Caenorhabditis elegans: one gene and its partners. The protein of the gene in region 1 interacts with the protein of each later gene in a pairwise test. Each region holds a gene or a part of one and is shown on either strand. Other genes may lie near its edges. The genes, in order: crmb-1, crim-1 and abu-10.

Region 1 (3,756 bases):
TATTTTAGAATCTTTGAGAGCTCGCAGTGACCTTGGTTCTGGAGATTCGCAGCTAAAAATTCACGAGTAACCGTTTTAAGACATGGGCTATCGAATGGCATAGGTTTCATATGCAAGTCTGATGGGCACCTTCTGATGGTTCCCTAGTTAGGCTTAGGTTTTGTCATAGGCTAAGGTTAGGCTTATGCCCAGGCTAAGGGCCATACTTACGGTATATTCTTAGCTTGTGCTTGAGCTGATGCTAGGAATATACCTTATCTTCTCACAAACGGAAATTTCTCGTTGAATTTAACAGAATAGTATACTTCTTGGAAAAACGTTCAATTAAAATGAATAAAACAATTTTAGGGATGCGACGGCAACTCCAATCGATTCCAATCGAAAGAGGCTTGTGAATCAGCTTGCCGGAACGCGACTGCTTCTGACGATTTAGCTTACGGTTAGTTGAACAATGGATGACAAAGGTGTATAATAGTTTTTCAGCTGTATGTCCATCTGGAGCATACCCAGCTGGAGCCACTTCTGGTCAGACTGTTGGATGTTCGAATTGCCCACATGGTTACGAGTGTCAAAATCAACAATGCTGTCCAACAAAAGGTTACTATTTTCTGAAGAGATTTTGAAAAGTTATAGTGATCTTTAAAACACAAGTTTAAAGCGGTTTGTACTTTGTCTGAACACTGGTGTTTTAGAACTAAAAACTCTGTTTCGATGTGTAAATATTTATTCAAATGTGAAAGAAGCACAACAAAAGATCGAAGAAATTTGCAGAAAACACATGTAGTTTGCAGTACGACGCTGGAAAATTCGGATCTAGTGGAAAACATACACCCAGGTAAGAATTCAACTAATTTTTATTGTACTTTCACGGATTCAATAAATTAAATTTCAGATATTTCTTCTCAAAGTCCTACAAGAACTGCATGCTGTTCACTTTCTATGGCCGCGATGGAAATGCTAACAACTTTGCTACGTACAACGAATGCAAAAACTTTTGCATGTAACATTTTAGCAAATAACAGTAGTTTTCTTAATGTATATAAATATTTCAAACGAAAACAATTTATTTTGCACAAAGACCTATATAAATGAATCATGCAAGTTGATAAAAATTACCAAAAAATCAAGTAAAGACGTGTTTAAATATCTTAATACTAGTTCAAAATAGATATTATTTACAGTAATATCACGGAACAGAGAAACTGGAATATCATAATAACTTCTTGCCACGATTTTAGTGGATAATCAATACATATAAGTACGAATAAACATAGTCATGTACTATATTACGTTAATTGAAAATTTTTCGGTAGCATTTCTAGTTTTATAGTTATACTTATTTGAAAAATTAGTGAAATTATCAAAAAACTAAAAGTGGATATCTTTTCGGCCAGCACTGTAATTGAATGTATTGTTTTCGCAGTTTTTTTAAAAATCATTTTTTATTTTGTTACTTACATTCGAGCGCACCCTTCAGATGTCTGCCGAAATAGCTTTTCTAAAAACTTGTGAAATTGAAAAGAGTTCAAATTTTCGTTGCAAAATCTTTTAATACATTCGGATTAAGAAGAATTTGTGTAAAACAAAAATGCTCAGTTTTCAATGTTTGCATGTTTTGAACAAATGCCTTGTTTAATGTTCTTAAAATCTTTTAAAACCAAAAACTCAAAGTATCAAACGCTATTGAAAACATTTATGTAGTTTAATTCATTCCTTGTTTCAATGCTTCATTCATTGTTTTCTGATCATCCAAAATGTTTGCTTCTTGCGTTATTCGATCATAAAAATAAAACGGTTTCAAAAAGTTCCGCTCGAGGCCAATTTGCAGCAGAGGAAGATGGAAGTGCACGCGCATCGAAGCAGTTTACAACTTCTCATGAAAGTGGAATCAAGACACATCCGTGGAAAATGATTCAGTTGAAGCTACAATTGTGTGAAATTAACGCCTACAAGACAATCTAAACAATCAGAATTGAACTTTCAAGATGTTTTCTTTCCTTTAGACAAAGTTTGTAAAATACTCAATTTTGTTCTATAGTAATTTTTGATAATGCTGTTTTAGGAGTTTCTGTCAATTTCAAAATGCTTCGTCTTCTTATTTTGCCAACAATATTGATAATACCTTTCTCAAATTCATGCATGACAACTTATCCAGCAGACACTCCTATTATGTAAGTTTCATTATTGTTGCCTTAAAATAATATATATATTCCTAAAGAACGCAACCTCCATCTCCAGATTCACCATCATCTTCCAATGGCTCCAGCACCAGTCTTAGCGAAAATTTGAATAACAACTCCGTTTCTAACCAAATCGAATATGTTAATCAAAATAATAATAGTGATAATTTTACAGTCGGCCTAGGATTTTTAGGGGCTTCTGGAAACTATGGAAATTATAGTTCACATTTGAATAATAACCTTTCTATTAGTCAAAATCAAAGCGTTTCCCTAAATTCTTCAAGTTCTAGTGTAGGAGCTGGGTTAACGCCTGGAAACGGATCAGTGGGTAGCACATCCAACTCCAGCTCGGCAGCTAGTTCAATTCAAAACATAGGTTTAAACAGTAGTCTGATCAACTCTAACACTAATAATTTGTCAAGTTCTAGTCATAGTATGTCAGGATCGAACAATAATAATAGTAATAATAACGTGGTTAATAATTATTTGACCGTTTATGGTAATAATGGAAGCTCTGGAGGTGGTTCCGGAAGTGGAGGTGGAAGTGGACCGGGAGCTGACTCACCAAGAATTCATTGCTGCCGTCCATGTTGTCCATATAGTCATCACCGTCGGTTGTGTGATCCTTGCTACTGCTCCAATCGACCAGAGTCACACCGAGATTCTTCTTCGTCCGAAGAAGTAAACGATGCGCAAAGTGATGAAAACACTTATTTCCAATGTAAGTAAAAATCAACTTTAGGAGTAATTTTTAACATTTGAAAAAAATGTTTCGATTGCAGAATATTTTCCATTTGTTACTCCACCTCTCTCTTTCTCTCTCTCTCTCTTAAATACTAACTCCTGTTGTTGCATTACTATTTTTCAGTACACTAATTTTTAGAGACTATAAAAATCATCATAATTTTTCTGATAGCGTTTTTTGTTGAATGGGTAAAGTATCCCTGTTAACCAAATTTAAAAACTTCAACACTTAAAATTGTCACTGGGAACCATTTCCTATCCACAAAAATTTCCAACGACACTACTGAATTCTCTCACTTGAAAGAGTTTCAGATATGTAACTTATAAAAAGTTTTCCCGTTCATACTGTTATCATTAACTTCCCCTGTTAATAACGCTTTAAAATGTTATGTTTCAGTTGACTTCATTGGAGTGGACGGACATCATGCTCGGCGAGTTTTACCTCCGAGTTGGAGGATTCTACGTAATTCGAAAGCTGAATCATCTGATGAATCGTCTTTAAGTGGTGAACAAAGAAGACCATGTGAAAACCGACGGCATAATAAATTTAGATGCCGTTCAAACTGTGGATCTTCCGAAAATTCCTCAGAAGAAAATACGTTGTGTCTATTCGATAGATGCAGAAGAAATAGAAGGTGCGGTGCTTTTCATAGATGTGCTCATCTTCCATGTTGTAAATTTGGAGGGAAGAAGTGCATGTTGGAATGCATCAGATCTAGCTGCCTTCCTAGATATGTAGAATGTCATCGAAGGCGGCGTTGTTCAAGAAAACAAAGATGTCACACAACAACACAACCACCAAGCCCCACGACAGAATCACTTCCAACTTCTA
Region 2 (3,756 bases), on another chromosome or scaffold:
TATATTTCAAATTTCAAAACTTTTCAATTTCGACATAAACTTCATTTTATTGTTCCATAAATATTTTCTTGCCCTTCCGTTTCCTGTCCATCATTCCAATTTCTCGTCACTTTTTGGCTACCGATGATGCTTGCTCTTCGAGCACCCGCAGCTGATCGACATTCTACTGATAACCATGAAAATGAGTCAAACACATTCCATTTTCTAACCTCTTGTCATTTTTTCCTTTCGAAGGCAAAAGGAGAAATATACCGAAGAGACATTTCGACGCCAATATACACTGTAATCAATCTTCTCACCTTCACGCCAATCATCCTCTCGATCATCATCCTTTCTCGATAGTTTCAAACTGTTTTCTTTTTTTCTTTTTTTAGTGAAAGACGTCGATGAAGTGTTTGTGATAAAAAATTACCGAGCTACAAGAGAAGAAAGGGAATTTTTGCTGAAAAGGCATTCCGTTCCACTCTTTCTCCTCTATCTCTGAAATTCCTCTTCTAATATTTTTACACCCTCACTAATAACAAAACACCTCTCCTTCTTTACCATACATTCATCTCATTTTCTATCTTTTATCACACCGTTCCTTACCGGTTTCTTATTTGAGGCAGCATGTATTTCAATGAGACCTCCATGAGACGTTTTTTTACCTTTTCCCGTCTAGACCCGCATAATCTAAATGGTTTCAATGTTTCCTTTTCCATCTCTCATCGACTCGTTTTTTGTCTATTTTCTTGTCCTCGTTCACTCAAGTTGATAAGAGCATTTTGAACACATAAAAAATTTACTATGGCCTAAACCAGGCGATTTTTATTGAGTTTTCATAAGAATCGTTTTTTGTGGAACATTGTGTACTTTTTTAAAGTTAAAGAAGTATTATTTCAAATTTAATACGATTTGAATGCTCTTCGATCATTCGGCTGATTGGCATGTCTTCCTAATTAATTGGAAACTTCTCAATAGAATACCACAAAATATAGCACTACCCTTATTGATATACTTTAAGAAACTATTTCTAGGTTTTCTTCGGCTTAAAAATGTAGCACATAAATTTGGTGCCAATTACTTTTTGATATTTTAGTATTGACAAAATTTGTGATAATACCAAGGATAACCAAATATGAGCTGCCAAGATAGAGCATTAAATGTACAAGGCTAATAGGGAAAGTACCGTAATCTTTTTGTAAGGTTGACACGCTTAGCGACCAGTTTTCTGTGTGTTTTTCAGGGTTTCATTTTCTCCAGATTTCAAATATTCCAGGTTTCCTGCTCCTCAATATTCTTTTTTTCTGCATTTCAAACGGTAAATTCTTTAGTGAACGTTGAAGATAATTCCGGAATCATTTGAAAGTTGAATTCTTCAAATGAACATTTTGCACGAGACGTAATAGTTTTATCAGTAATAAAATCACTTGTTATTTTTGAAAACTAGATAACTTCTCTTCTCTTGAAAAACTGTGGAATAAAACAAATAGTTAAGTAAAAACTGTTCTTTTGAGTAGGTAGCATAGGAACATCCACCTATTTTTTTTTGTTTGATCTGGTTCTAGTTTCTAAAGTAAACATGAATAAACTTAGAATCTTTGATGAAAGTCATTATCAATGTTATAACACGGAACTAGGTCTCCTTTGTCAAATGAACTGAGTGTTTCTTCTTAATTATGTTGTTGTTTCTTTCTATTGAATTGCAAAACAAAGTGTTCTAATCCATCGGGCGCCAGTTCGGTATACTACGAGCTTCTGCTACCATCTTTCTGTCTCCGCGCACCTTCATCATTTTGTCTTTCGCCCAATGTCAACAGACCTTTTTTCGTCTCCCTGCTTGCTCGCTTGTGTTCTTTCTCTTTGACAGTGCAGCTTCTTCACCGATCGACTCGGATCACTTTCGTTGTCTATAACCTCTCTGATTCTTGTGCTTTACCGTCGTGAAGATCCCGCGCAGTTCGATTTTCAAAGGCGGGGCCTGCACAGACACAGTTCATTTCAAATTGGGACACTACGAGACGGTCTCTCTGTTTCTCGTTTTACTTACTTTTTCATTTGAATTGAAATCTTAGTTACATGGTCCCAAAAAAATCGACAAAAAATTTATATACATGACTACAATTTTCATATTTTTCTTTGCAGAGCTTGTGGGCCGTTCATCACGCGGCTTCTCCGCTGAACGGCAAAAACGGTTATGCAGAATTGTTGAAATGCAGTGGTCAAGTAGTATTATTTTACTCTTCACATTTCTTATCATTTCCAATGCAAAAAACCAAAAGACCACATTGTGCGGGACATGTGACAAGGATTCATGTCCAGATGTTTCAGGATGCGAGCAATTGAAAAAGGATCAGTGCGATTGCTGCGAAGTGAGTAATTTAAAATTTTGATAGAAAACGAACTATGGTTTAACAATTCTTTAAAACTTATTTTTAAAATTAATTTTAATATTCTAGTTCCTCAGTTTTAATTTTCTTTTTAAAATTCCAGAACATTGAATGTGAGCTTTTGAAATAATTTTCCACAATTTCTCATGACTAAAATTCTAACTATTATCATAAATCCCCAATAACTTAATTATTATTGGACAATGATCAAATGAACAAATGAAAGGATCAAATGCTCAGTGAAACAACTGAATAAAGATGAGCTTTAATGTATTATGCTACACAGTCAAATCAGTACCAAAACGAAGAACCGTTTGATAGAAACGCATAATTCAGATACCGTGTATCCTCTTAGAGCTCTTATTCCTCTTATTCCTATAATGAAATTGCACATAGATAGGTTCCCGATAATTAGTACTTTTTTTACTAATAGAGGAAACACGGTACATTAAAAATAATCCTAATTGCTTTGAAAGTGGTTCAACTTTCTAAGTTTCAAATGATAATAACTGTCCCTTAAATCTTACTTTCGGTTTTTAAACCGCGGTTTTAGTTATAATTTTGTTTCTACAAAAAGAAATACACTGAATAAACTTAAACATAAGTCAAAAGTCTATAAAAAAGTATGTGCGGTCTTTTTTAACGGCTTTCAAACAATAAACAAAAAGTTATACTTGCAGGTCTGCATTCGACAAATCGGTGAAACTTGCGACGGGCCTGGTCTTGTTTGTGATTCGCATCTTTCATGTCATCAGGAAAACGATCTTGATGGTTCAAGTCGATGTAAAGGTATATTTTCTTCAATATTTCAAAGTCCCTTTGCATGTTTCATTCGATTTGAAAGAACTTTGGTTGTTTTTTCGAGGTCCAGAATGCTTCCTAATTAAAAAGAAAAGGGTGCTCTAGAGTTACTATTGGGCTTATTTTATTGCTGAAATTTGATAGGGTTTCTTCTCAGTCTCTCTATCTCTCTCTCTCTTTCATTTTCTCTTCCTATAAAAAATGACTTCTCAAAATGGTGGCGGTTCTCTTGTGCTGAGGCTTCTCGTGTGTGCTCGCCGGACGACGCAATCCACCCTGCTCTCCCGAATATACAATTTCTATTTACTTTACTTCACTCTGCCCGCAGTTTTTTAACCAAAAAGTCCTCTATGTTGTGTCCGCAGATAGGGCGGCTTGCAAAGGTAGAAAATGGGTTGGACTAACTTGAGAATTGAAACGATCTTGTTGTGGATAAAAAATCGGACAATGTAGGCAATGGGGATATCAAGTAATTGAAATATTGCAAGGATTCTGAGCATACCAAAACTTGAATGTTGTTAAAAAATACTTAGATTGTTCAAAAATAAATTGTTTTTATCAATTTCTTTCAAGATCTAGAAAAGGA
Region 3 (3,756 bases), on another chromosome or scaffold:
TTTTTTTTTTATTTTTGAAAACATTTTGAAAAATTTCAAAAAGTTTCTTACAAAATCTTTTCATCTTGTGAAAAGGCTTGCAGCTACACCGTAGATCCATATTTAAAAATAACAGAAGGTTTTGTTTTATAGAGAAACCATTCACAATAAATACTAATACCTTGATGTTAATTATGAAAAAGTCAGAACTCCATGTTTCTTACGTGAAAAAAAACACTGAAAAAAACATTGTTGACCATTTTCAGAAAATAAAATTTAATGGAAACATACTTTTAGTGAATGAGTATTTAATGTAAAACTAGATCACCCTCCCCCCCCCCCCCTCCCAGCAAACTTTTGAGCTCATCCCAATGGTCTGAAAACACGCATAATTCGAAAACGTTCCTCATCACATCAAACGAACATATATTTCAAGTACATGCGTTTTTGCGGGCACACTGATAAAACAGAGCCGGCACAGAGTGCTCACGTACCGGTTCTCGTACGTTGCTCAACTCTCCTGTAACATGACCACCCCTGAGCTTTTAATCCGATTCCGGCGCAACTTTTTGTGCTGCTTTCCTTCATCCTCAGACACAAACATTGCAACCTTTTATCCAGCCGGCAATCGAACTCAACTCAACCCCTCAACCGGTATCTAAAGTAAAGGCAAGCGGTCTGAGTAATGAAGAATGTGATAATTGGGGTTCTTTGTATTTGTTTGTTGGGAGGGAGAAGAATCAACGAGAGATTGTGCAAATGCAACAGCTGAAAGCGTTAACCAGTTTCTCAGCTTGTATTCTTCTATGACGCGGTCTCTATTTACGGACTATTTGCAAATAACGCATCACTTGAACTTTTCAATGCAAGTGTTCGGAGATTGAAAGTTCTGTGTCACTACATTCACGTATTGTTGAAAACTATAACGGATATATTACAAGACGGTCTAGACAAAAATTGGGAAAAAAAGCTCTACTGAAAATGGGATATTAAACTACTACCTTTCAGAAATACTTTCAGAACAATATTACTTGATACAAAAGAAAGATCTTCAAAATAGCTTGCTGGTACTCCAACTAAAAAGATATAATAATCAATTTTTTTTTTACAAATCGGTGCAAAATAGTCGTTCGTTTACTAGTCATGCTTTGAAAAAATTTAAGCTTAACAATGCAACCTAACCTCGATTTTTTTCAAATTAAATTACAATTTCAAATGAGAATAAAGAGAACCTTCTACAACTTGAACATTCTGTGAACTATTGGAAAACACTGGACATTGAATGAAACAAAATTTTTAAACATTCACATTTGCGACGTTGGGCCGTTATTTATTGTCTCGAAAGAGGAAAAAAATGTCTGACAAATTGGAAAAGTACAGTAGATTCAACTGTCACACTTTTTTGTAAAGTAGGGCCTAAAATTAGTAGACTCGAGTTTTGAATTGGTGAGCCAATATCTCTCTTGACACAATTGAAGTGTTTTTAAACTGGTTAGAAGACTAGACTGAAATATATTATAGCTAACATCACTTTGGATAGTATGCGTCTTCGGCAAAATTTCATGTGCGCAAGAAGCCAAAAACAAACAATGTTTATTTGTGTGCACGCATTTTTTCAGCACACGGTTTTCATTTTCTCTGACTAAACTTTTTTCCCCCTCCTTACCATATTCCCACAGGTGCTCTAATCCGATCATAACTACTCATCTGTGTTTGATGCACAATTGAAACTGCCTTCGTTCTTTTTTGTCGCCTGTTCTTGCGCATGCCGGTCTTACCCTCTTGCCATGACTCCTCCCGGCGGGCGCGTATAAATATGAGGAGCAAAAGTTGAGTTGTCAGTAGTAGCTTGGCTTCGAATACTCTCTAACAAAAGCAGCAATGTTCCGCTCTGCATTTTCAATTTTTGCTATTGTCGCCCTGGTGAGATTTCTTTTTTTTTTCATTCCATTTTATTTATAAATTCCCCGCCATTTTCAGGCACTTTCGGCACCAACTCTTAGAGAAAAGCGTCAGGCTTGCTCATGCGCCCCAGTTCAGCAGCAACCATCGTGCTGCCAACAATCCACCATCAATGTCCAGGTTCAGTACACTCAGGTCCAACAAGCTCCAGCTCAAGACCCATGTGCTTGCCAGCCACAGCAGCAGCAGCCTGCGTGCAACTGTGCTCCAGTTCAGCAAGATCCATGTGCTTGCCAGCCACAACAGCAGCAGCCGGCTTGTAACTGTGCTCCAGTTCAACAAGATCCATGCGCCTGCCAGCAACAGCAACCATCCTGCGATTGCGCTCCAGTTCAACAGCAACCAGCCTGTGACTGCCAGGTAGGCTGTTAATGTAAGAGCGACGAATAAAAGTAACCCATCTTTGCAGCCACAACAACAACCAGCCTGTGATTGTGCTCCAGTTGCTCAACAACCAGCTTGTGACTGCCAACAAAACCCATCATGTGTGACCTGCATCCAAATCGAGATCCGTCAGCAACAAGCTCAACAGCCAGCTTGCGATTGTGCTCCAGTTCAGCAGAACCCATGTTGCCAACAAGCTCAGGTACAATATATTTGGTAAATGTTGGATGAACTTTTGAAGTTTCAGCCAGCCTGTGATTGCGCTCCAGTCCAACAGCAACCATCTTGCGATTGCGCTCCAGTTCAACAGAACCCATGCTGCCAACAAGCTCAGGTATGGCATTTTGAACAATTTTTTTTAGTCCGGTAATTTCAGCCAGCCTGCGACTGTGCCCCAGTCCAACAGCAACCAGCCTGTGATTGTGCTCCAGTCCAGCAGAACCCATGCTGCCAACAACAGGCTCAGGTAAATCACACTCCAGAGTTTTCCATTAAGTTTGTGAATTACAGTCAACTTGCGACTGTGCCCCAGTTCAACAGAACCCGTGCTGCCAACAAGCTCAGCCAGCTTGTGATTGTGCCCCAGTTGTTCAGCAAAACCCATGCGCTTGCCAACAGGCTCAGGTAAAGACTATTGCTTTTTGACCAGTAAATTAACTATGGATATCTAAACTTCCAGCCATCCTGTGATTGCGCCCAACAAGCTCAGCCAACCTTCCAAGTCCAAGTTCAACAAGCGCAACCAATCAATCAGTGCGTCCCAGCTTGCCAGCCAGCTTGCCAGTCATCGTGCACCGCTTCGTACACCAACCAACAATCCCAACATTCGTCAGCTACTACTTCCTGCGATGCTAACCAATGCGTATGCCAACGCGGATACGTCAAGTGCGCCGAGCAGACCTGCTGTCTTAGATACAGATACACCAACCGCAAGGCAAAGCGATCGATCGCCTAAACGAACTCATTTCTGACCATGTCTTTCTTTTTCGACTTCACGCAAACTATTTGTACATTTCGGTAATATTATTGCCATTACATAAAGTAGTTTTATATTATTTCCTTTTACACAATGAGTATATGCAATGAAGATATAAATGAAAAAATGATTAAGAATCATTTCTATGATGTTCAAATTACCAATTTTCGTCTAAATTACAACAAAATCACTGAAAAAGATTTGAGAAAAATGCAATTTTCTTTTAGGAAACTCTATTTGAAGTTTGAAAACCAGAAGATTTTCACAAAGGGTTGGTTCTATCATTATCTAAAACAGCAATCGTAGAAGAGATTTGAGAGTTTTCTTCAAAACTAAACTTTTTATATTGTGTTCAATATTGTTAACGAATTTTTGATCTTTAAATTTCCCATTTATTTTAAATCTAAATAACCTATACAATAATAAGCGCATTTGAGGAGTCAAATAAATAGACA

What was found.
Region 2: the proteins of crmb-1 (region 1) and crim-1 interact in a two-hybrid assay, tested with the Caenorhabditis elegans proteins (2 studies listed by BioGRID).
Region 3: the proteins of crmb-1 (region 1) and abu-10 interact in a two-hybrid assay, tested with the Caenorhabditis elegans proteins (2 studies listed by BioGRID).

Annotation. Positions count from the first base shown.
Region 1 is NC_003282.8:267,268-271,023, forward strand, and holds the start of crmb-1 (Serine/threonine-protein kinase), read left to right. Parts: upstream 1-2,139; coding exon 2,140-2,171; intron 2,172-2,218; coding exon 2,219-2,901; intron 2,902-3,321; coding exon 3,322-3,429; intron 3,430-3,475; coding exon 3,476-3,559; intron 3,560-3,609; coding exon 3,610-3,756. Other genes in the region: T21D12.12 (BPTI/Kunitz inhibitor domain-containing protein), read left to right, coding at 349-439, 484-597, 772-835, 893-1,004.
Region 2 is NC_003283.11:10,330,481-10,334,236, reverse strand, and holds the start of crim-1 (Cysteine-rich motor neuron 1 protein-like), read left to right. Parts: upstream 1-2,124; 5' UTR 2,125-2,192; coding exon 2,193-2,351; intron 2,352-3,049; coding exon 3,050-3,158; intron 3,159-3,400; exon of another isoform or gene 3,401-3,540; intron 3,541-3,756.
Region 3 is NC_003284.9:3,796,363-3,800,118, forward strand, and holds abu-10 (Activated in Blocked Unfolded protein response), read left to right. Parts: upstream 1-1,819; 5' UTR 1,820-1,860; coding exon 1,861-1,902; intron 1,903-1,959; coding exon 1,960-2,301; intron 2,302-2,350; coding exon 2,351-2,527; intron 2,528-2,572; coding exon 2,573-2,659; intron 2,660-2,701; coding exon 2,702-2,791; intron 2,792-2,835; coding exon 2,836-2,949; intron 2,950-3,004; coding exon 3,005-3,280; 3' UTR 3,281-3,379; downstream 3,380-3,756.